7 linked regions of the Canis lupus familiaris genome follow. The protein of the gene in region 2 interacts with the protein of the main gene of each other region in a biochemical or structural test. Links are inferred from orthologs where the notes say so. Each region holds a gene or a part of one and is shown on either strand. Other genes may lie near its edges. The genes, in order: KCNA5, SNTA1, DGKZ, GUCY1A2, SCN5A, SLC16A7 and WWTR1.

Region 1 (3,431 bases), on a different chromosome or scaffold from region 2:
ACTCCTGCCCCCTACATACCCCCCCGCCCCCCCCCCCCCCCACACACACACAAAGCTGCAGTTGCCAGCTCCAAACTTCACCGGAGAACAGCTCTCTTCCTCTCTTTCTCTCTTACTGGATTTTGCAAACCGGATTTATGCAGAGTGAGGAGTTATATGTCCTCAGGAATAGGAGACCAGGCAGTGAATTTGTCCCACGGGCCATGACTCTCTGGACTGCGAATCAGGGCTGTCCCAGGGCTATGGCAGGGGGTCACTGCCAGCTGTCAGCCGGTTACCTTTGGGTGGGAAGAGAGAGGCTTCTACACCTTGGTCTGGAGGTATCTCCAGCCCTAGGTATCTCTAGATCTATAGATCCCCAGGGCCCATAGCTCTGCCCAGCCTCTTCTTGTCCATAATTCTTCCCCAAGAAGATGGAATGGTTAGTTACTCCTCCAAAGGAGGATTGTAAAAGGGCTGTTATTTCATGTCTCATCCGTCCAACCCAAGGCAGTTCATTTCCCCTGGAGTCCACTTGGCGTTCAGCGGGTTCCCAGGTGAACTGAAATCCACAGCTATTCTCATCTGGTTGCCCTGGGAGTTTTGGCGCTGTCGGTACAACCTGTTCCTTCAGCCTCTCATTCCCCCCCCTCCCTCCCCCCACCTCCAGGCTGCTCCCTTCTCCGCCACACCCCCCCCCCCCAGTCGCCCCAGGCCCCAGCCGTGCCCTCCCTCCGGGGAGACACCCGCTGCTGGAGACCCAGGAGGGGACGCGGGGGAAGGAGGAGGGGAGGGGACGGGGCGGGGTAGGGAAGAGGCGGGAGAGCCGCGCTGGGTGGAGGCCGAGGCCGAGCGCCGCCCCGCAGCCAGAGAGGGGCGGCTGAAGGTTGCATCTGCTGGAAGGAGGCTTTTGGCTGCCTGGTAACGGGCTGCCGGAACGGAGAGCGGAGAGCGAGGCAGCGAGCAGGGCAGCAGCTTCCTGACGTCAGGGCCGAGCCCGGGGATCGCGCCAGCAGCCCCAGCCCGCCCCGCAGGGAGGCCGGCCGACGGCTGGAGAAGAGCCTGAGCCACGCAAGGCGCCCAGCCGGGCGCGAGCGGGGGCTCGGACGCCGGTCAGTGGGGGCGCAGCATGCCCCCTGCCCCCCGGCCATGGAGCTCGCCCTGGTGCCCCTGGAGAACGGCGGGGCCATGACCGTCAGGGGAGGAGGTGAGGCCCGGGCAGGCTGTGGCCAGGCCGTAGGGGGGGAGCTCCAGTGCCCCCCGACGGCTGCGCGCGGCGCCGGCCCCAAGGAGCGGGAGCCCAGGGAGCGCGGCCCGCCGAGGGGAGCGGACCCCGGAGCGCGGCCTCTGCCAGCGCTGCCTCTGCCTCGACGGCTGCCCCCGGAGGACGAGGAGGGAGACGGCGACCCCGCCCTGGGCCTGGCGGAGGACCAGGTGCCGGGCCCGGGCTCGGGGTCCTTTCACCACCAGCGCGTCCTCATCAACATCTCCGGGCTGCGCTTCGAGACGCAGCTGGGCACCCTGGCGCAGTTCCCCGACACCCTCCTGGGGGACCCGGCCAAGCGCCTGCGCTACTTCGACCCCCTGCGGAACGAGTACTTCTTCGACCGCAACCGGCCCAGCTTCGACGGCATCCTCTACTACTACCAGTCCGGGGGCCGCCTGCGGAGGCCGGTCAACGTCTCGCTGGACGTGTTCGCCGATGAGATCCGCTTCTACCAGCTGGGGGACGAGGCCCTGGAGCGCTTCCGCGAGGACGAGGGCTTCATCAAGGAGGAGGAGAAGCCGCTGCCCCGCAACGAGTTCCAGCGACAGGTGTGGCTTATCTTCGAGTACCCGGAAAGCTCCGGGTCCGCCAGGGCCATCGCGATCGTCTCGGTCTTGGTCATTCTCATCTCCATCATCACCTTCTGCTTGGAGACCTTGCCCGAGTTCCGGGACGAGCGCGAGCTGCTGCGCCATCCCCCGGGGCCCCCCCACCCCCCTGGGCCCGCCCGGGGGACCAACGGCAGCGCGGCCCTGGCGCCCGCCTCGGGCCCCACGGTGGCGCCTCTCCTGCCGCGGACCCTGGCTGACCCCTTCTTCATCGTAGAGACCACGTGCGTCATCTGGTTCACCTTCGAGCTGCTCGTGCGCTTCTTCGCCTGCCCCAGCAAGGCGGAGTTCTCTCGGAACATCATGAACATCATTGACGTGGTGGCCATCTTCCCCTACTTCATCACCCTGGGCACCGAGCTGGCCGAGCAACAGCCAGGCGGGGGAGGGGGTGGCCAGAATGGGCAGCAGGCCATGTCCCTGGCCATCCTCAGAGTGATCCGCCTGGTCCGGGTGTTCCGCATCTTCAAGCTCTCCCGCCACTCCAAGGGGCTGCAGATCCTGGGCAAGACCTTGCAGGCCTCCATGAGGGAGCTGGGCCTGCTCATCTTCTTCCTCTTCATCGGGGTCATCCTCTTCTCCAGTGCCGTCTACTTCGCAGAGGCTGACAACCAGGAGACCCACTTTTCCAGCATCCCGGACGCCTTCTGGTGGGCAGTCGTCACAATGACCACGGTAGGCTATGGGGACATGAGGCCTGTCACTGTGGGGGGCAAGATCGTGGGCTCGCTGTGTGCCATCGCCGGGGTCCTCACCATCGCCCTGCCTGTGCCCGTCATTGTCTCCAACTTCAACTACTTCTACCACCGGGAGACGGACCACGAGGAGCAGGCCGCTCTGAAGGAAGAGCAGGGCAGCCAGAGCCAGGGGACAGGGCTGGACAGCGGAGGCCCTCGGAAGACCAGCTGGAGCAAGGGGTCCCTGTGCAAGGCTGGAGTGTCCCTGGAGAATGCAGACGGAGCCCGAAGGGGCAGCTGCCCCCTGGAGAAGTGTAACCTCAAGGCCAAAAGCAATGTGGACTTGCGGCGATCCCTCTATGCCCTCTGCCTGGACACGAGTCGGGAAACGGATTTGTAAGGGGGAGCCCCGGCAGAGTGGTGGTAGTGGGGTGGGGATAGCAGAGACCTCCTGAGCCGGGGTACTGACTTTATACCACGGAGTATTTCAAGCCCACCTTGAAGTCTGTCCCTCTTTAGACTTCTCTCCTTCCCTCCCTCCCTTGATCCCCCATTTTTCCTCTTCTTTCCATGACACCAAGGGTCGCCTATTTTTAAAAAGTACCACATTCCATGACGCAGGAGCTGTTGAAATGGTGAGCACTACGAAATGGATGTATTTGTAGCCAGTTCCCTATACCCAGCAGAGGGATAACCCAAACAAAAAATGACTTTAAATAGCCAAGATCCCAAGGGATTTTGTAACCCCCTCCATGTGTTCCAAATTTGCTTTACATATGATTTTATTTGTGTATAGGGGAAAATATTATTTTTATGGCTGGTGAGTGGATTTTTGTACTGTAGTTCAGATGGAGATATTTTGGATACATTTTCCAGAAATGCTGTATTTATGGAAGAGGG
Region 2 (3,500 bases):
ATTCATGGGAGACACACACAGAGAGGGGCAGAGACACAGGCAGAGGGAGAAGCAGGGTCCATGCAGGGAGCCCCGTGTGGGACTTGATCCCGAGACTCCAGGATCATGCCCTGGGCTGAAGGCAGGTGCTAAACGCTGAGCCACCCAGGTGTCCCTATTTTATGTTTTAAAAGGATATTCAAGATCTCAGCCATAAAGTGATTCAGTAAGTTGTATTAAGTTTTTTTTTTTTTGCATCAGAGATGCAATCTGGATAGGCTTTTGAAATCTAGACTTTCAGGCCTTGGTTTTCAGCTGGGTCCTGGATTGTAAAACTTTCCAATTGTGAAGAGGTCCTTGGGGGGCCATAGCAATAACTGATTTCTATCTTTACTCCAGATTAAGTGGTATCAGTGGGTTCCCCCGTTGTGGGGAAAATAACTTAAAATATTAAATATTTAAGAAAAAGCTATCGAAGCACTTGTAAGTTACTCAAACACGGGCGAACACCCAAAGCATTTAACCAATGATCCAGTGACCAAACTCCATTAAGAATTTAGAAAATGGAAAGAAAATGAGTGGGAAAAATCAGAGACAGTGAGAAAACATGAGAGACTCCTAACTCTGGGAAACAAACAAGGGGTAGTGGAAGGGGGGTTGGGTGGGGGACTGTGGTGACTGGGTGATAGGCACTGAGGGGGGTACTTGATAGGATGAGCACTGGGTATTATACTATATGTTGGCAAATTGATTCCAATAAAAAATATATACATAAAAAAATTTAGAAAACGAGGGACACTTGGGTGGTTCAGTGGCTGAGTGTCTGCCTTGGGCTCAGGGTGTGATCCTGGGGTTCTGGGATTGAGTCCCGCATTAGGCCCCCCACAGGGAGCCTGCTTCTTCCTCTGTCTATGTCTCTGCCTCTTTCTGTGTGTTTGTGTCATGAATAAATAAATAAAATAAAATAAAAAAAGAATTTAGAAAATGACTTATTAGTGTTCCAGACTTGTAAGACTCCTTTCTGAGATTCTCTTTACTCTCTCATCCCCGCTTTCCTGGCACTGGGCTGGGCGCCGAGGTAGGCTTTCAGAAATAATTTTGCCTTCGTGGGACTCTTAAGCATTGGAGCATCTGCTTCAGTCTCTTCCTGTTTCTGTGCCCATGCAGGGGGCCGGGAGAACAAGATGCCTATTCTCATTTCCAAGATCTTCAAGGGCCTGGCAGCTGACCAGACTGAGGCCCTCTTCGTGGGAGATGCCATCTTGTCTGTGAATGGGGAGGATCTCTCCTCTGCTACCCATGATGAGGCGGTGCAGGTCTTGAAGAAGACAGGCAAAGAGGTGGTGCTGGAGGGTAAGCACTGGGGACCCTACGGGTGTTCAATTGTCTCCTGCCTCCTCTAGGCCTTAAGTAGCCCCAGTCCAGCAATGGGGACTGAGAGGTGAGCAGGGTTGAAAACAGAAGCTGTACATGGGGACCTGCTTTGACACAGTACAGGGTGGTGGTGGGAGAGCCGGTATAGAGCCAGACAGATCTAGTTTTCATTTTTTCTCCCCCATTCATTAGCTCTGTAGACTTGGACAAGTCATTTCATTTCCCTGAGTTTCAATTTCTTCATCTATAAAACAGGGATGTGGGGGCACCTGGGTGGCTCAGTCGGTTAAGTGTCTGCCTTTGGCTCGGGTCATGATCCCAGGGTCCTGGGATTGAGTCCTGCATTGGGCTCTGCTCAGCAGGGAGCCTGCTTCTCCCTCTCCCTCTGCCTGCCACTTCCCATGCTCTCTGAGTCTCTCTTTCTCTGTCAAATAAATAAAGTATTTAAAACAAACAAACAAACAAACAAAAAAACCCAAACAAAACAAAAACCAGGGATGTAACACTTCTGTTTTGTTGGGTTGTGTGTTCAGGACAAAAGGTACATGGCAGGATCTGCCACTCAGTGAGTGAATCAGGGAAGGAGAGGGACAGAGACTGGGGAAGGAGCAGCTAATATTCTCTCTTGAGGAAACTGGAGAGTTCCTAGCTCCAGGGACCCTGAAACCCTGAGACCCATCCTCCTGTGGGAGAAGACTTGACCTTTATGTTGCAGAACATCAGATCCTTCCAGCAAGGATCAGAGAGGAGTTTTGATGGGGGGCTTTGTGGTTCTCCTCCACTATGCTCACACTATGTGGTCTTGGACAATACCTTTATCTTCTCTGGGCCTTGGTTTCCCCATCGATTGTGATAGCCTCTTGCTGTGGCTGTCCCTCATCTGCCTTTTGCTATCTCTCTTAGGAGGTTTCTGCTTTGCTCAGCCCTTTCTTCAAACTCCCCTCTATCAATTCCGGAAGCTGTGGGGGCCCGAGGAATGTGTGTTTGGCTCTAGGCCCAGAACAGGCACAGGGAGATGGCGGGGGCTGATGGAGAATGCCATGGCTAGTGTAGCTGCTGAGCTGAGCCCCAGGCCTGGATCCTGATAGATTGCCTTTGTTTCCCCAAACAGGTCTCCAAGAGGCCACGGAAACAAACAGGCTTTGGGTGATCTTTGGTGTGTTATGGCCCTGACCTCAGTTCTCTCTTGGTTTTGTTTTATTTTTTACATTTTTGTGTACCTCTTTAAGTGACAGTGGTGCATTTTTAAAATATATACTTAAAAAAAAAGTCAACTCTGTGGTATTGGTCCTTGAAGCTTAAGTATAACAGTCATATTTTAACAGCAAAGTTAAATAACAAGATCACTGAGAGATGATATGGATATAAAAGACTCTCCCCACCCCATGCCTCATTACTTTGATATTTATTGCTGGTAATGCAGTTGAAACTCATCAAAATGTTATATTTTGGTTGACTTGAGAAGATCTTTTAGTTTATGCTGTTTGAAAGTTTAACCTGTAGATGGTAAGATTTCTACTGTAGACACAATTCTAATGCACACTGAGATCCCCCTCATCTTCTCGTCTTTAGGTTGAGAATGTCTATCTGGGTTCTCAGCATGGGTCATTCTGAGAAGACAGCGTCTCTGAGTGTTGAAAGCTTGAGGCTTCTGGTTTCAGGAGCTAACACCCAAGCCTTCTGTATCATTCTTGTACTCCATTCTTTCCTTACTAAGTCAAGAAACATTTATAGACACCTACTATGTACCTGGTGTGCAGAGCACAGGGTCAGAAGCTAAATCAGACCCAGGCCTTCTCCTGAAAGAGCTCATTATCTGGTGGAGGAGAGTCTTGTTCATACAAACTCTTTAAAAATCAGTTTCTAAAATCTGTCTGCTCTGTGATGAATCTCTAGCCTTGGGTAAGACCCTTGCCTTCTCTGGCCCTCAGTCTCCCTATAGGTTGGGATTAGACCAGAGTATTTTTTTTTTAATTTTTATTTATTTATGATAGTCACAGAGAGAGAGACAGGCAGAGACACAGGCAGAGGGAGAAGCAGGCTCCATGCACCGGGAGCCTGACGTGGGATTCGATCCCGGGTCTCCAGGATCGCACCCTGGGCCAAAGGCAGGCGCCAAACCGCTGCGCCACCCAGGGATCCCTAGA
Region 3 (3,500 bases), on a different chromosome or scaffold from region 2:
AGACCAAGAAGAGCCAGGCAGTCTCGAACACTGGTTCCCCAGGCACACTGCCTCCGTTGTTCCCTGGTCACAGGAGCTCAGACACCTTGGCCCTATGTGCCTCTCCCTAAATACCTCTGTACCCATCCAGGGCTTCAGCCTGGCATTGCTTGCCTGGACTCACAGGGTAGTAGCAGATTAAAGAGTGGGTGAGTGGGTGATGGGAGAAACAGGCAGTCGGCACGTAGCTGTGGGCCTGGGTCCTCGAGCCCTGCATCCACCACCGTTTGTCCAAGGCTCCCACCCACCATGCCTGACTTCCTCTAGGCCCTTAGCAGGTGGCCGTATGTCTCTTGCTGGCCCCAGGCAGATGTCCCATGGCTGTGACTTGGACCTCTCTGTGGCTGCCAGGGCCCAAGAGATCACTTGGTGGTGGGATACAGGCCCTGGGCATTCTGGAGGCATCCTCCCTACCCCTGCCCCAAGTATACCTGGCTTCCTGCCCTTCCCCCACTGTTTGGAAGAAGTGAGGGTACAGTAATCCCAGCAGCCTGTAAGAAGGGGCAGCCAGGAGTAGATGAGCTGGCGAAGGAGGCTAAGAATGGGTCAAGGGAGGGTGGTTTGAGTAAGGATAGTCCCCCACAGGAGGGAACTCTGGGTATAGAGTTGGAGCTTCTAGCATTGGTCCCCAGGACACAGTGCAGTTCACAGGCTCCCTTGGCAGCAGGGCTGGAAGGGTTTTCAGACCTCACCCGTCACCTGGTACTTGCACACATGGGAGATCCGTCCTCGGCGTCTCCAGAAAGGTGAGACAGAGCAGTCTAACATCAGGAAAGGGCCTGCTTTTAGCCCCTCAGAGATAGAGATGCACACCCAGAACACACCTGAAGGCTTTCCTCTTGGCTCAGGCCTCTCATAGCTTCCCATGTAGAGTCCCCATGGTTGAGGACTGGGGTGGCTCTCTCCCTGTATAACTCCCCCAGTCTGAGGGCGTTGGTCACCAGAGCCCTTTGATCCCTAAGTCAGATCTTCCCCTTGTCTGGTGCCCAATCTCTGCCTGACCCCACGGTTTGGGGCTGAGTCTAGGGGTCTTATCTGGACTGAATTTCCTTTCAGAGAGCCTCCTTTTATTACCATAGCTTACTTTGTGCCATGTCCCAGGAGGGGACACCTAAACCTAACCTGCTCTCAGTTGGTAGCTAAAAAAAGGCCCAATGAGAGGGCGGGGAAAAAGGCTTCTCCTTGGCCCCTCAGTCTGTAGAAGCCAACTGTACACTGGAACCCAGGACGGTGGGCTTCCAGTTTCCTTTTTTTCTTTTCCATCAGCTTCAGGCAAGGGAGTCAAAGGCCAGGGCTTTGTGGTTTATGATGCCTGGACAGGGGAGCCACATGGGTGGCTGGAAGCCCCTTGTACTCGTTACTCTTGGGGCAGCAGAGGGTATAACTGGGGAGAGCGGTAGTGCTTCCAACAGTGGTGCCTGTGGGCTCCCCTGAGGATTCCGTGGTACCCTCACACGACCTATTTATGGAGGTCAGAGGCCGTGGACCCCTCCTTCTTCCTCCCTGTGTCCCTTCTCTGTTCAAAGGGTAGAGGCCATGACTGGGCTCCAGAGCGTAGGATGGGCCAGAGCCTGGCCCAGCTCCTGATGCTCCCGGTCTCTGCCCAACAGCCCTCCACCTGCCCCTGGCATGGAGACCTTCTTTAGGAGACGCTTCCAGCGGAAGGAGCCAGGCCCCGGGGAGGGGCAGCGGCGGCCCAGCAGCGTGGGGCTGCCCACAGGCAAGGCCCGGCGCCGCTCCCCTGCTGGACAGGCCTCCTCCTTGCTGGCACAGCGGCGCCGCTCCAGTGCACAGCTCCAGGGCTGCCTCCTGAGCTGCGGGGTGGGGGCCCGGGGTGCCAGCCGCCGGCGCTCCAGCACCGCACCTCCTGCCTGCAACCCCCGCTTCGTCGTGAATGAGGTGCCCACCGCACAGCCTGCCACTGTTGGGGCGCAGCTTCTCAGCACACCCTTGCTGTTGGCTGGGCTCATAGGCATGAATGAGGAGGAGGAGGCGTCTCGGGAGGAGGACGTGACAGTTGCGGCATTGAGTGCCACCCAGCTGGGCGCCAGGAGACTGGGCCCCTCCTTGCACCGGGGCACCCTCCTGCCTGTGCCTGGCTGTCTGCGCCGGCGGCGCCGAGCCTCCTCCCACCTGCTCCCTGCTGACGTGGTGTATGACTGTGCCCTCTGGGGCCTGCACGGTTACTATCGACGCCTCAGCCAGCAGCGGGCCCCAGGCCCACACCCCGGCCCTGGGGGCCGAAGAGCCTCAGGCACCGCAGCTGGCGCTCTGCTGCCTGCCCGAGTGCGCCCGCTGTCCCGCAGGCGACAGGTAGCCCTACGGCGCAAGTCGGCGGGACCCCAGACCTGGAGTGCCCTGCTTGCGTAGGTATAGCTGCGGCCGGCAGGGCAGGTGTGCAGACCCCGAGGAGGCTGGCCTGGAGGAGGGACCTCGAGGCTCTACCTGGCCTGAGGGCCCCCTTCTTGGGAATAGCTCTGGATAGTGCCTGGAGGCCAGCCCACCCTCCAAGGGCAATGAGGAGGGCTGAGTCTCCTGCTGGGAACTGCTTAGGTTCCTAGGCTGCTATGGCACGGGTGTTGTAGTCCCTGCCTTGGCCAGGGGTTGAGGTCACGGTGAGGGCAGAGATCGCAGGTAACACGAGGGGAAGGAAGTAGAGTTACCAGGTGCTCAGCTGGCCTCAGCGATCTCCTTTTCTGTAGGAAAGCCATCACCAAGTCGGGCCTCCAGCACCTGGCACCCCCTCCTCCCACTCCCGGGGCCCTGTGCAGTGAGCCAGAGCGGCAGATCCGGAGCACTGTGGACTGGAGTGTGAGTGGCAGGGTGCTGGGAGGGAGGGACAGGTGGGTACCAGCCCCTGCTGGGCTTGGGGGGCTGCTGCGGGAGGAGCCCATGGGCCTTTGGGGTCAGGGCAGACCTCCTGGGGTAGCCCGGTTTGAGCCAAGCCCTCAAGAGCGGGGAGAGTGGGAGGAGCCCCTGGCTGGCTCAGTTGGTAGAGCTTGCAGCTCTTGATCTTAGGGATTGTAAGTTCAAACCCCACGTTGGGTGTAGAGATTACTTAAAATTTTTTTAAATCTTCAAAAAAAAGAAAAATGGGGACAGTGGGGAAACAGGATGGAGCAAAGTAGATTGTGGTGGCTGGTTTATCTTGGGGGAGAGGTGAGTTGGCAGGGCAGGGACTGACGTGCTGGGTAGCAGGTTGCTCTGAGCATGCTCATCTCATGGTCTAGGAATCCGCGACGTATGGGGAACACATCTGGTTCGAGACCAACGTGTCGGGGGACTTCTGCTATGTTGGGGAGCAGTACTGTGTAGCTAAGATGCTGGTGAGTGAGCTCTGGGTGGCATGCTGCCCCCTGCTGGTGGAGCGAGTCTAGAAGCCTATGGACAGACCTGCAGGCCTGACAAGGGAAGATGGGAAGACTCTCACTTGACACCCCTGCTGTGGGCTGCCTGAGGAT
Region 4 (3,500 bases), on a different chromosome or scaffold from region 2:
ATTCTTAGACATTTTGAAATCACTGAATTTAAGTGATGAAAAATGATAAATCACAGGACCCAGTCATCCTGAATAAATGGGCATCCTTTCCTATTTCTAAGTATTTTGTTGAAAACTTTTCCATTGAATTTCAAAATTATAAAAATCGGTTCTAAAATGAACACTATATAAAATCCTCAAAAATGTCTTTGGCTCTGCTTTCAGGTTAGTCTCTCGTTTACTTATTATGGCAGGTGTTCCAGAATATGTGATTACTCATTCATTGAGTTTTTAATCATCTCTTCCTTTAGCCCAGAGCAGCCTGTTTATTTCAAAAAGCCACAGCTTTCCCCAAAATGCTTGGGAACAAGCCGAATTGCCTATTAAGAACTTTATTTTCCTCATATAAAATACTGAAAATCTCTACTGGAAGCTGAACACATGTACATTCAAATGTCTACTCGGAAGAACATCATCTATATTACTTATTATTATATTTTAAAATACTGTATTTTCTTTACATTTTATTATTTTAATGTTGATTTCTCCTAAAAGAATTTTTTTTTTACCTAAGGGAACATGTTCGTGTAAACTAATATAAGATTCAGCTTTTAGCTTTTCATTTCTTTGTAATTTATCACCCAGATTTTCCAAAAAGGGATTCAAAGAAATTCACAATAATTCCTCGTGTTCACTGAGTTCTCCAAGCAGTGAGCATGTTATAAAGGAAGGAGTCTGTTTCAATACTAAAATGTATTTAGAAAAGAAGCCCTGAGATTGTCACTTAATTTTCCAACTTTTAGAAAACGTATTATTCTGCAAACTGGGACAAAAATAGGATGTGAACCAGATGTTCCTAGATATGAAGTTTAGAGCAGAGCACAGTCATAGCGGAGCTAGCTTTTCACCCATATTTATTTTAGGAGGAGGCAAGTGGGCCCCACAGTGTGGGATTCAGTCCTACTATTTCTCTTCTAGTTTGACTTCAACTGGTGGAAATATTCATGGGTTTACAGTATCAGGTTTCTAGCGAGTCCTATCATTTTTGTAATTACTATGGCTGGTATTAATAAGCGTCTTCTTTTTACACGCTGAAATAAATTAATGGAAAAGGCAGACACTATGCAAAATGGCTGGGAATAAGGCCAAATCTTTTTACATACATCCAGGGACCAGTGATTTCCTAAATGGCACTTTGAGCTCTCTTGCCTAAATAATTACAAGTACAGCCAGCATGTAATTTACTGAAATAATTATGCACTCCTTTCAGTTCCCATCACCCAGCTCAAGCCCCTGGCCATTTACCTTGTCTTTATTTTCAGTGCCAGAAGCCTCGGGCTTGGTCCTGATCACAAACGGGGTGGACAACCGCAGGAGGACCCTCTCAAAGGTGGCATTCACCCTGGGAGACACTATCTCGAAGCAGTCCTCAAACTTGAGCACTTTGTGAGTGTCACACCGCAGCTGCTTCCGGAGGCCCTCCCCCAGCTGCAGGACTGACATGTGGGGGTCAAACATCAAGTGGAAAGGGAAGGCTCTGCAGAAGGTGCTGATGCTGATTCTGAGGTCCGCAGGGACATGGGAGGTGCCCTGTGCAAGGTTCTTTGTGATGGTGGTATTTTCACATTCTTTGATGAGGAAGGTAAGACAGCTACAATTGCCTGGGTTCGAGCCATCGGAGCACAATTTCTCACTGGCAACCTGTTCCACTTGCAGGTCCAGCCGGTAGATCTTCTTGCCAGCGGCCTTAATCATCCCTGGCATAGCAAACCCCACGACATGGTGAGGATGGAAGTAGTGGAGCACTAGAGTTCCTTCAGGGAGCTCTTTGCATAGGAATGATGGTGACTCCAGAGTGGCCTGTTTTCCAAAAGAAGTTCTAATGTGTTCCAACAAAGCATCAAAGCCATTAAAAAAGTCCTGCAACGTGCCACCCACAGCTCGAAGGACTCTCTCATTCTCATCAAAGCATATATTAAAGAACTCCTCTCCAAATCTTTCTTGAATTTCCTCAAACTTCAAGCCTAGGGGTAAATGGGAAGGAGATGTTAGGGAAGTAACATAAAATCATCATATTTATAGCTTTTAAAAATGCTTATCAAAAAAAATGCTTATCAAATGAGGTAACTAGTGAGTGAGGTAAGAGAGGTACTTCCTTCCCTTTGACCCACATATTCCCAAAGAGATTAATTCATTTTGAATCAGAGAAAGCAAATTTCAATTCATCTTCTAGAAGCTTCTAAGGTGTTAGTGAGCATAAACTTCTTTTAATATTTCTGTTTGTTTTTAAATAGACTTTATTTTTTAGAGCAGTTTTAGATTCACAGCAAAATTGAGGAAAAAGTAAGGATATTTTCCACAGAACCCTCTCCCAGCAAACACACAATCTCACCCTTACCCCAATATCAGTCATCATGCACTATGGTGGTACATTTGTTACAATCAATCACCCTACAATGACACAGAATCATCTCCCAGAGTGGGTAGTTAACACGAGGGTTGACTCCTATTATTGTACATCCTTGGGTTTGGACAAATGCGTTACTATATGTGCCTACCATTATAACATCATACAAAGTAGTTTTGCTGCTGTAGAAATCCTCCGTTCTCTGCCTTTTCATGCCCCACCCCTCTCAACTCCCATAGCACAAACTTTCTAAATGCTGCTCATCTAGCCGCTCATTTTTCTTTTCAATATCCTACTGCATTTGCTATAATCAACACAAATAAGATTTTCTTAATGATTTCCCTCTTAGTTAAAGCAACTTTTTAGAAGCAACTATAACACTGTTTCTCTATTACACCCACCTACTATTACTATCTTACTTATCAAAATTCATTTGTTAAGTGGGAAATACCAACCAGAGAGGGATTTATGGTTACCTGAATGGGGAAAGGCATCAGATTATCTAGTGTCAACAGAAGGACTTAAGTGAGACCCCAGTGAGAGAGAGACCAAACAAGGAAGTAAAATGACAGAACTATGGGCTGATTTGCATTGTTTCACTCACAAAAATGAGACTAGCCAAGGGTGGAGTAGGCATCTCACCAGAAAGAGTTAAAACCCTTTGCTTTCTCCATTCATACTTCCACATGCCATGGCAAAAGGAACTCTATATTATAGCAATGGAATGATAACAAAAAATACATACATACATACATACATACATACACACATACAATACATTATGTAGAAATTAGAGCCAGTCACATGTGATCAAGTTAGATCCACCCTTAAGGATGATCTGAGGAAAAATATGGAGAGAATTTATGGTCCAAAGAGGAAGGATACAGCACATATATAAGAACTGAATGTGTGTGCTGAAGGAAACCTCTACATGGAGTCATTCTACTACTTATCCTTTGACTTTGGCTGAAATCAATACATGTAAGTTTACGTATTCATATTTTCTTGCCTCATCTACTCCATCTTATAAGGAGATCCTGAAGATAAGGCAAGATTGGGAAAAGACAGTGGTCATCTTGCTAGTGTCCTATTAAAGTACAGAGCAGTCTTGGTT
Region 5 (3,500 bases), on a different chromosome or scaffold from region 2:
CAGGGGACAGAGTCTGTGTGTCTGACTGCAGGACATGTCCCGAGGGTTACCGGTGCCTAAAGGCAGGGGAGAACCCTGACCACGGCTACACCAGCTTTGACTCCTTTGCCTGGGCCTTCCTTGCGCTCTTCCGCCTAATGACACAGGACTGCTGGGAGCGCCTCTACCAGCAGGTACATGGGTGCATGGGCGGGAGGAACACCAGGAACTGGCTAGGGACCAGGATGCACAGGTGATTAGCTAGAGGCCCCAGCAGCTTCTCCACTGGCAAGAGCTGGGGAGGCTCAAGGAATAAGGGACAGGAACCCTTGCATCTGAGGAATGGGAACAGCAAGCAAAGAAACTTCTTGCTGGTAACCAAGTACCCTTCCCTCTGTATGGGGCTCACTGTGCTCTGTGAGTAGGACATTTCTCTGCCCTATATGATGGAATAGTTGCCTCTATGCATGCAACATTTCCTCTGTCGACTGGAACATTCTGCCTCCCTCCATGGATGGGACACTATCCTCTGCATGTAGGTCATTCTTTTCTATGGGTTAGAATACTTACCTCTATAGGCAGGATATGCTCTACTCCTCCCCAAGCTGTGGCCATTTGAACTCTTGGCGTAGCCTGACTGGACAACTTGAAATTCCAAGACCATGACCATGACCCAGAAAGGGCCCCAGTGAAGATAACCTCTGTTGCCTTACTCCCCCAGACCCTGAGGTCTGCAGGGAAGATCTATATGATCTTCTTCATGCTTGTCATCTTCCTGGGCTCCTTCTACCTGGTGAACCTGATCCTGGCTGTGGTTGCCATGGCCTACGAGGAACAAAACCAAGCCACCATTGCTGAGACAGAGGAGAAGGAAAAGCGCTTCCAGGAGGCCATGGAGATGCTCAAGAAAGAGCATGAGGTGAGTGAGCATGCAGCCAAGGAGCCTCCAAAGCAAGTCCTCACCTGATTCTGGCTGCCTATGAACCTGGTGCCTGCTGGGCAAAGCTGGTGCCTATGGGGATGACACCTGCTTCGTAACGCTGGTGCCTACAAACCTGGTACATGCTGGGTAAAGCTGGTGCCTGCTGGGTAAAGCTGCTATCTGTAAGTGTGGCATCTATAGATAAAAGGCAGGTCCTGCTGGGTAAAGTTGATACCTATTAACCTTCTACTTGCTAGGCAAACCTGGTGCCTGTGGGCATGGTGCCTGCTGAATAAAGCTGGTGCCTATAAGCATGGTGCATGCTGGGTAAAGCTAGTGTCTGCAGATGTGACGCATGCCAGGTAGAGCAGGTGTCTGTGGGTATGATGCATTCCGGGTAAAGCAGGTGTCTGCGCATGTGATGCATGCTGGGAAAAGCTGGTGCCTTCACGTGTGGCATCTACTGGATAAAAGACAGTTACTGTTGAGCGATGCTGGCGTCTACTGGGTTAAAGTATTTCATGTGAATGTAGTGTCTGCTAGGTGAAAATTTGGTACCTGGTTAAGGACAGTGCCTGTTCATGAGGCACCTACTAGGTAAAAGTCTCACTGGGTGCAAGTGGGTGCTGTGAGTGTGGTGCCTGCTGAGGAAAGTGTTCCCTATGACCATGGTGTCTTCTCAGAGAAAACAGTGCCAGCTGGGTAAAAATGGTGGCTGCCAGGTAAAGGTGGTAGCTCCTGTGTAAAGGAACCTAATGCATGCTGGATAAAAGAGAACCACATGTCCATGGACTGAGTTTATCCTAGTCAAGGGATGTCTTCTGGAAGCTTGGTGAGGAAGGTCCAAGGTCGGAAGCCTGACCCAGCTCGGAAAATAAGCCCTGGCAGTGCTGCCCTGGTTACCCATCACTCCACACACAGGTACTGCAGGCTAACTACAGACCAAGCTGTTAGAAGCCATGTAGGCATTCACTTTCTTCTCATTGCCCCACGCTACCTCCCCCATCACCAGTTTTGGCCAACTGAACCTTCTAGAAGATGTCCTGCCCTCTAATTCTGTTGCTTCCTCTGCTCACCAACATCCTCCCACCTCAACTGTCCCTCACACTCCCCTCTTCCTAGAGCTGCCCACATCAGCCACTTCTTTCCTCTTCCCTGGACTTTGATTCTTTTCAAAACATGCTGGGTCTGTTTGAGCTCATCTCTCCATGATACTCTGGTCTGGGGTTAAGTGTGCAAGTCTACTTCCTGATGGGGAAATGGAGATACTGAGAGTTGCTCGGCCTGCCTTAGCCTGAGGCTGCACAAAGTCTCAATAACCAAAACACCCCTCTTCCACCTTTTCCAGGCCCTCACCATCAGGGGTGTGGACACTGTGTCCCGCAGCTCCTTGGAGATGTCCCCTTTGGCCCCAGTAACCACACATGAGAGAAGAAGCAAGAGGAGAAAACGAATGTCTTCGGGGACAGAGGAGTGTGGGGATGACAGGTTCCCCAAGTCCGACTCGGAGGATGGTCCCAGAGCAATGGTAATCCCCGGCCGTGGCTCTGACCCTTTCAGTGTGGGTCTGGCATCAAAAGCCCATCATGTTGGGCCCCTGGTGCAGCCCCCCGTGGTTGCTCCCCAAGGAGACTATCCTTGAGCCCCCTTCCAGCCCTCCGTGTTTCCCATGACCATTCTTGGAGTGGAGGAGGTCTGGGCAGAGACACCAGCTAGGTTTGGGTGTTGTGATGTCACCAGCATTGGGGCTGGGGCTAGGACCAGAGGTTACCCTGTGGTGTAGATTGGTAGGCACCCAAAGACATACCCATTTGAGTCAAGTACATGGCTGATGGCCCCAGGTCCTGCTCAGGCCAGGCCTGTTTGCACCACCAGAAGCTTTCGTGCCTCCTTCTTCTCCTGCCCAGCCACAGCCACAGCTTCAGGCCCAGGTAAATTTGGATCTCAAAGCCCCAAAGGCACAAGCTTTAAGTGAGCAGAGATCCCAGATGATGCAGGACCAACTATACCCCCTCCTGTGAACACACCCTGGCTCAGCGCCCCCAATTCCCGAGTGGCCAGCAGAAGCCTGGGTGGCTCCGTCAGTTAAGCATCCAACTCTTGATCTCAGCTCAGGTCTAGATCTCAGGGTCATGAGTTCAAGCCCTGCTGGGCACAGAGCCTGCTTTAAAAAAACAAAACAACAACAACAAAAAAACTCTCATTGCTCTGAGACAACCTCTCAGTCTCCGAGAACATCACAGGGGATAGGCTGGGAGCACATAAAGAGCTGGCTTGGTGGTGTGCCTTCTCCCTGTATCCCCAGAATCGCCTGAGCAGCACACATGGCCTCAGCAGGACCTCCGTGAAGCCACGCTCCAGCCGTGGGAGCATCTTCACCTTTCGCAGGCGAGACCTGGGCTCGGAGACAGATTTTGCAGATGATGAAAACAGTACAGCGGGAGACAGCGAGAGCCACCGCACGTCCCTACTGGTGCCCTGGCCTCTGCGCCAGCCTAGTGCCCAGGGACAGCTCAGTCCAGGGACCTCGGCTCCCGCCCTCAATGGTAAAAGGAACAGCACCGTGGACTGCAACGGGGTGGTCTCCTTGCTGGGGGCA
Region 6 (4,124 bases), on a different chromosome or scaffold from region 2:
GTTAGTAGGATATATGTCTCCTTTGCTCCATTGAGAAGGAAATTGGTAAAAAGCTAATAGGATATTGTGATGCGCACCGGGTGTTGTATGAAAGTGTAGAACCACTATATTATACACGTGAAATTAATATTACACTGTACGTTAAGTAACTGGAATTTAAATAAAAACTTTTAATTTTTTTGACAACAACAAAAGTATAGGAGGAAGATTAACCCGGATGGCCACATGTGAATTTTTTGAGAGCGGAATGTCAGCCTCATCCATCTTGATAACCACAGTGCAGTGTCTGGAATGGTGCAAGGGGTTCAAAAATTGCTAGTCTGTATTTTAGCTGTTTTCTCTATATGTTATTCCTCATAATAGCACTTTAGGGTAGGTAGCACCAACCACATTGTAGGGATAAGAAAAACCGAGGAGGAGATTGTTAAATAATTACTTAACCTTACAAAAGTACGAAATTGACCTTGAAGTCTGTGTCTAACTCTGAATGTCTCAAAAAAAAAAAAGTTTAGTGAATGAAGAGAGACGTAAAAGTAAATGCAAGAGTCTCCTTTTATTCCAGACTCATGATCCAGGAATATGACTCTGGATAAAAGATATTTCTATAGGTCAGTCTGCCCTTCTTCCCTTCAGGAGGGCTCCCGGGTGAAAATGTAAGCCAGATATTATAAAAGAGTCCATGCGTCTCCAGAAAGAGGCTGAGCATTTATGGGAGGATTCAAGAGCTTGAATATTGGGAAACCAACGTTAAAACTCCAGATCACTTACCATTATTAAAACACTCCCTGGGGGGAAAAGCAGTATGTAACTGCAAACTGCTGATGTGAGTTTTGGGGGAAAAAAAAAAAAAGCCCCAACCGCCTCTGACTTTATGAGTTGTTACACAACACACCGAGTTGCTTAAGGTAATAATCTTTCCCTTTCACTGAATCACTCGGTTGCCTGCCCGCTTAGATTGCTTTCAGGGCAGTGTGTTCAGAAGCACAAAGTGGAGCTGCGATCGCTCTAGGAGGAGCCCAGAAGGGTCACCTTGTTGACCTCCTGGCTCCCTCTTCCACGGTCTGCAACCCCCCTCGGGCTCTGGGTCTCAGCCCTGGGTCTCAGCCCCGCTCCCTGGAAATGCACGCTTGGAGCTGGAGGCTCCCGGAGATCACCCCGAGGTCTGCAGCGCTTCTGCGCTCACCTGCGTGCGGCCAAGGCAGCGGCGCCAGGGAAGGGCGTCCCGCGTCCCCGCCGGGCCCCCCAGGCTGCTGCCCTCACCCGGGCTCACTCTCCTACGGCTCCACGGCGCCTCTTGTTGGACCGGGAAGGGGGGCGAGGACGTAGGCTACGAGCTCTCCTGCAAACACCAGCGGCCTCCCTCGACCCAACCCACTGGGCGCCTCTGCTCCTGGCGGAGTCACCTGCGGGGAAACCGCGGCTCGCTTCCTCGGTGTGCGCGTGCGCGCGTGTGCGACTTCCACATCCCCGCAGTAGACCCCAAACCCCGCAGCCCCCGGAAAGCGGCCCGCCCCGGCCGCCCCCGCCGAGGCCGTGTGCAGCCCGTCAGGTCGCGGCCGCGCTCCCTCCGCCCCACGCAGGCCCCCCGCGCCCCGCTCTGCAGCCGGAGGGGACCGCGACGCCTCCGCCCCGTTGCCGCCCCCCCCCCCCGCCCTGCACCGCCGCTCCCCGCCGCCGCCGCGCCCGGGGCTGCCCCGGCCCGCACGGGACCCGCCGTCCCCCGCTCCCCGCCCGGGGCCCCTCGGCGCCCTGCCCTGCGCGCCCCTGCCCTGCGCGCCCTCCCGCGGCCGCCCGGGGACCGGGGCTGTGCCTCCGCGGGGCCCCGGGGCGCTGCCCTGACCCAGGCGTGCGGCCCCGCGGAGGCGCGCCCCCGCGCCCCTCCCCTCCCCTCCCCCCTCCCCTCCCCCTCCCCTCCCCGCGCCCGCGGCACTTACTTCACCCGCCGTCCCGCACCCCGGGGCGCCGCCGCCCCCGCCGCCGCCGGCTCGCCGCGCCGCCACCGCGTGGATGGAATTATTTATTTATTTATGTCCCTGGACTCGTCCTCGCCCCGCGGCCCGGGGGGGCGGGGGGGAGGCGGAGGGAGGCGCGGCCCGAGAGCGCCCCAGTGGGTGCCCGGGAGCGCGCGGGGGGAGGGGGGAGGGGAAGGGGGAGCCCCGCCCCGCCCCGCGACTCGGGGCCGACTGAGCATGCTCCCCGCGGCTGTGCCCCCGCGGACGCGGGCCCGGGGCGCGGGGACTCCGGGGCGTAGCTGGGGGCGGCAGCGAGCTAGGCGGGGAGCCCGCGAGCGGGGCGGGGGGCGGGGGGTGGGGGGAGGGATGCGCGGGGGGGCGCGGAGGGGAGGGGGCTGCGCGGGGGGTGGGGGGCGAGGGAGGCGCGGGGGGGCGGGGGTCGGACATCCCGTCCCGGCCGTGGAGGTGTCCGGGGGCCGCCGTTGGGACCGAGGTGTTCCCGGGCGCGGGGAGGAGCGGCAGTGCTGGGGATGGGGCCCCCCACCACGACACCTAAGGGAAACCTAACCCTCACCCCGTGGGGCGCGGGGCACAAAAACTAGTGCAAGAAGACCCCGAACCAGGAAAGAGGCGAAGGAAAGCGCCCGTGCACCGGCCGCTGCATCGTAGCCCCCGAATCCCTTCACTCCGCCAAGGGCGAGTCCGACCTGCCCACGAGCCGTGCCCGGGCTCGCGCCAATTCCACAACCGTCGGTCTGGTTTCCTCTGCCCTCTTTTTCCTTCCTCCACCGTCCAGAACACTCTTGGGGCAGCCGGAAAGAGGAAGGGCTGGGACTGAACGTTTGGTGACACCAGAGATCAGGTTCCTTAAATGTCTTCACAGCTGAAGTCCTGCTCACACAAAAAGGAACCTTTAAAGCAACGCGGGCTTGAACTTGCGAATTCCTGTTGCCCTGTTTCTGGCGACTTAGCAGACCCTCACCTACGTTACACACACATCTCTTTTCAGGGGGACAAAGGCAGGGGTGGGGAGGGGTGGGGGGGGGGGTGCTCAGAGTGTCCTCCTGGCACTGGCTGTTTCCCAAGTAACTTTAATTCAAAATAATCACTGTGCCAAAGTGGCATATTTCGGGGTGGCATTATCTGCCCCCCTTCACAAATTAAGTCACTTAGCTAAATTCACATTGCCTTGCTTCGGCCACAGCTGGTTTGTGGGCTTATTACAAAACTGGAATGGTAGTTTCTGTAGCTACAAAATAGAAGCAATATCAACCCATTATTGCTGTCGTAAGATTTAGGTGAGATGATACATGTGTAGTAGATGGTAGATAATATGAGTGAATAAATGTTGCCTATTATTAGGCAGTTTACAGAGGGAGCTTGGAAGTTTGGGAGTTTGGAAGACATTTTACAGAGGGAGTGATGTTGGAAACTAAGGAACTAAGGCAGAAAATTCCAGAAAGGACTAGCTTTTCTTGGACTAAAAATGTGTAAAATGACATTTATATAAAATGTGATAGGCATACGAGAGTAATAGAATGTCTAACAGTGACTATAGACACTTCATTTTCATAAGAAAAAATAATGTTAAAGTTTGAAAAGAAAACACTAAGTAAGACACATCTCCAGGTCATGTTCTTGAGTGTTTGCTATTGACATTTTTCCTGCTCATTCATTACTCATTTCCTTCCAAAGAAGAGAAAGAAGACCAAAACTTTCCTGAATTTTGACCCTATTCTCTACTTTCTTTTTGATTTTTTTTTCTCCCTCTCTCTCTCTCTCTCTCTCTTTTTTTTTTTTTTTTTTTTTTCTGTATTTGTTTGCTTGTTTTTACAGACCCATGTTCTTGGTCTATTTAACTCATTGTCAGATTCCTAAACGTCACTAACTAGCATGCATGAATGCATGAATCATAACTGTAGTTTTCTTTTAAGTCTTGTTTTTCCAACAATTAAAACTCTGGATCCAATTTACCTACTACCCCAGTGTTAGTATTTGAGGATTCATCTTTAAATTGCCTTATTGCTATGGCTAGTCATGCTACATAAATATTTGATTGTATTAGAAAGGAAGCTGAAAGGAGAATTAGGTGGGAATAAATCCAGTCAATTTATCCTATGACTTATAGTCTTAATATTATCCAGAAGCTGAGAAGAGAAAACAATTTAGAGA
Region 7 (2,302 bases), on a different chromosome or scaffold from region 2:
TGTGACTTGTACACATTGTGAGAAAAGTAGATAGTTGTATGGTGCCAGGTGTGTGTGTGTGTGCGTGCGCACGCGTGCGGGGGAGGGGGTGATGTGCAGAATTTGCTTTATAAAATACTTTGAAAACGATCCCTAGAGCCATCGATGAAGACAGCTCTTTAATAACATGGTTAAAGTAAACTCCTAAGTGTTGTCTTTGAACATAAAGAGGAATGACATGGATAAATATAAGCTTAACAATTAAGTCCTTAGAGTATAACTCGATGATAAGGTATTTATTACGGGGTGGGGGGCCCTCTACTCTTTCACAAAACCGCTCTTCATGCAGCTGTCATGGGAGGGCATAGACCACAGGTCCCATCCACAGGGCCTTCCTGTGCTTTTCTCCTATCTTAGGCTTATCCCTTCTGGGCAGTGTCTTCCGGGACAAATAAAGATTGACCCGGCATCTCTGCATCTCTTATGAGTGAGGATCACCAACTCAATCCTAGGAAGGTGGTAGCTGTAATTTTTCACAGAGGTGAAATATTTTAGACCTGCAGTGATAGAATCTTCTGTTTAAATGTAAGCACTGTGGAAATGAAGATGAGAGTTGTGTTAATGCTTCAGGAGCTTAAAAAAACGGAATTAAAACGATCTTCCTTTGTTCTGTTATAGGAGAAAATGCAGGACAGACACCCATGAACATCAATCCTCAGCAGACCCGTTTCCCGGATTTTCTTGATTGTCTCCCGGGAACAAATGTTGACCTAGGAACTTTGGAATCTGAAGATCTGATCCCCCTCTTCAATGATGTAGAGTCTGCTCTGAACAAAAGTGAGCCCTTTCTAACCTGGCTGTAATCAATACCATTGTAACGTGGATGCAGCCGTGACCTGACATTTCCTGGGCCTCTTGGAAAAAGCAATGGAGCAGAGTAAGTCTGCAGGTGTACCACTTTCTGCCTCCATGACTCAATGCTCCCTCCTTTCCATGCGGCCAGTTTAATCATTGCCTGGATTTGATTGACAGTAACTTAAGTTAAACGCAAATGAATGCTCTATTTTCATTTTCTGCAGGCCTGCATCCCTGTGATGGGCTATGCAAGAATTGCTTCTGCAGAACTGAGAATGCAGAATTGCTTCTCTGTTTTTCTCTCTGCTGCCCCATAACTAAGCTTTAGGGGTGTCAGTTGAAATTTGTGCATCCATTGATTATAAACCATAAAAAGCCGACCACAGGCAGTGACTTGTGACAGGCAGCTCGGTCCAGGAAATGTACACGAAATTAGACCTGATTTGCAGTTTTAAAAACTGTATTAATGACAGTAGTACCAAATGCTTTAAAAAATATTTAACGTGAGCTTTAAAAATCATTGTATGGATAGTAAATCTCTGCTGTATGGAATACAATGTAGTTTTGAATCCATGCTGGTTCTGATGGTTCTTTTACTCTGTATCTGCAAAGGCACACATGGTCCTATTGTAGTTTGGCCTTCCTCATTACTTTACTGCGTAGTGTCTAGACAACTCTTCCTTCCAGCAGGAGAGGAGCAGGAACCTGAGTCACAGTTCCTACACTTACAGATCTTATGAAAGAGACCAGTTTGGTACTAATTATGAGCATTTGTTAAACAAAACTTTTGTTTTTTAATTACAAGTTGGATTTTTTAAAAAAATTGCAGCTTAGAATTTGATGTTTATTTTATAAAAAGCACTCTAATTTTGTAGCTGATGACAAAGGGCAGCCAAATATTTTTGATCAATCAGTGGCAACTGTATTTTTGTCTTTTGAAAACTGTTCTGAAAACATCAGGACAACATAGCTTCCAACCTGACAGCGCACACAGTAAACTGTTGCTTTTTAAATGCTGAAGCCTTATCAGTTTTGCTTTCCAGATTTCAAGTGTTTAAAATACTCTTATCTATGAAACTGTTTGAAGGATGAAGCAGATCTCTGACTGACGTGTAAAAAAAAAAAACAACCCTCTGAAGGGTGTATGGTGGAGACACGTGTTTCTGAATTCAGCAAAATTGATTCCTAAGTATGTTATCCTAACCGTGTTTGCTACAGTTGGTATAAAAAGGCATGAAATATGTACTCAATACCTCTTATGTAACCAAAAACATTTTTTTTTTATTAGCTTTTAAGGACTGAGAGAGAGCATCAGGTTCCCCCAGGCATGCAACTCTGTCTGCATTGCCAATGAAGTCCTCGATTGTTTAATATTTTGAACTGACATTATTTATAATCTATGAATTTAATATCTTTTTGGAAAGACATGAATAGTTCAGGTCTCTGAGAGGAACCTTCAATTCCCAAG

Evidence for each region.
Region 1: the proteins of SNTA1 (region 2) and KCNA5 interact in a test that uses a peptide from one of them, tested with the Homo sapiens proteins (2 studies listed by BioGRID and IntAct). The link is inferred for Canis lupus familiaris from reciprocal best matches to the Homo sapiens genes SNTA1 and KCNA5.
Region 3: the proteins of SNTA1 (region 2) and DGKZ form a complex in vitro, tested with the Homo sapiens proteins (2 studies listed by BioGRID and IntAct, with this or other methods). The link is inferred for Canis lupus familiaris from reciprocal best matches to the Homo sapiens genes SNTA1 and DGKZ.
Region 4: the proteins of SNTA1 (region 2) and GUCY1A2 interact in a test that uses a peptide from one of them, tested with the Homo sapiens proteins (3 studies listed by BioGRID and IntAct, with this or other methods). The link is inferred for Canis lupus familiaris from reciprocal best matches to the Homo sapiens genes SNTA1 and GUCY1A2.
Region 5: the proteins of SNTA1 (region 2) and SCN5A interact in a test that uses a peptide from one of them, tested with the Homo sapiens proteins (2 studies listed by BioGRID and IntAct). The link is inferred for Canis lupus familiaris from reciprocal best matches to the Homo sapiens genes SNTA1 and SCN5A.
Region 6: the proteins of SNTA1 (region 2) and SLC16A7 interact in a test that uses a peptide from one of them, tested with the Homo sapiens proteins (3 studies listed by BioGRID and IntAct, with this or other methods). The link is inferred for Canis lupus familiaris from reciprocal best matches to the Homo sapiens genes SNTA1 and SLC16A7.
Region 7: the proteins of SNTA1 (region 2) and WWTR1 interact in a test that uses a peptide from one of them, tested with the Homo sapiens proteins (2 studies listed by IntAct, with this or other methods). The link is inferred for Canis lupus familiaris from reciprocal best matches to the Homo sapiens genes SNTA1 and WWTR1.

The regions. Positions count from the first base shown.
Region 1 is NC_049248.1:6,280,333-6,283,763, forward strand, and holds KCNA5 (potassium voltage-gated channel subfamily A member 5), read left to right. Parts: upstream 1-1,128; coding exon 1,129-2,931; downstream 2,932-3,431. UniProt on the Homo sapiens protein: Voltage-gated potassium channel that mediates transmembrane potassium transport in excitable membranes. Forms tetrameric potassium-selective channels through which potassium ions pass in accordance with their electrochemical gradient.
Region 2 is NC_049245.1:23,164,404-23,167,903, reverse strand, and holds part of SNTA1 (alpha-1-syntrophin), read left to right. Parts: intron 1-1,146; coding exon 1,147-1,332; intron 1,333-3,500. UniProt on the Homo sapiens protein: Adapter protein that binds to and probably organizes the subcellular localization of a variety of membrane proteins. May link various receptors to the actin cytoskeleton and the extracellular matrix via the dystrophin glycoprotein complex.
Region 3 is NC_049239.1:43,525,240-43,528,739, reverse strand, and holds part of DGKZ (diacylglycerol kinase zeta), read left to right. Parts: intron 1-1,649; 5' UTR 1,650-1,668; coding exon 1,669-2,405; intron 2,406-2,741; coding exon 2,742-2,850; intron 2,851-3,269; coding exon 3,270-3,365; intron 3,366-3,500. UniProt on the Homo sapiens protein: Diacylglycerol kinase that converts diacylglycerol/DAG into phosphatidic acid/phosphatidate/PA and regulates the respective levels of these two bioactive lipids.
Region 4 is NC_049226.1:25,391,692-25,395,191, reverse strand, and holds part of GUCY1A2 (guanylate cyclase soluble subunit alpha-2), read right to left. Parts: intron 2,004-3,500; coding exon 1,285-2,003; intron 1-1,284. UniProt on the Homo sapiens protein: Has guanylyl cyclase on binding to the beta-1 subunit. Isoform 2 acts as a negative regulator of guanylyl cyclase activity as it forms non-functional heterodimers with the beta subunits.
Region 5 is NC_049244.1:8,568,210-8,571,709, reverse strand, and holds part of SCN5A (sodium channel protein type 5 subunit alpha), read left to right. Parts: intron 1-31; coding exon 32-173; intron 174-700; coding exon 701-898; intron 899-2,249; coding exon 2,250-2,429; intron 2,430-3,206; coding exon 3,207-3,500. UniProt on the Homo sapiens protein: Pore-forming subunit of Nav1.5, a voltage-gated sodium (Nav) channel that directly mediates the depolarizing phase of action potentials in excitable membranes.
Region 6 is NC_049231.1:3,690,422-3,694,545, reverse strand, and holds the start of SLC16A7 (monocarboxylate transporter 2), read right to left. Parts: upstream 2,801-4,124; 5' UTR 2,660-2,800; exon of another isoform or gene 2,412-2,659; intron 1,988-2,411; exon of another isoform or gene 1,935-1,987; intron 1-1,934. UniProt on the Homo sapiens protein: Proton-coupled monocarboxylate symporter. Catalyzes the rapid transport across the plasma membrane of monocarboxylates such as L-lactate, pyruvate and ketone bodies, acetoacetate, beta-hydroxybutyrate and acetate.
Region 7 is NC_049244.1:44,798,029-44,800,330, reverse strand, and holds part of WWTR1 (WW domain-containing transcription regulator protein 1), read left to right. Parts: intron 1-657; coding exon 658-842; 3' UTR 843-2,302. UniProt on the Homo sapiens protein: Transcriptional coactivator which acts as a downstream regulatory target in the Hippo signaling pathway that plays a pivotal role in organ size control and tumor suppression by restricting proliferation and promoting apoptosis.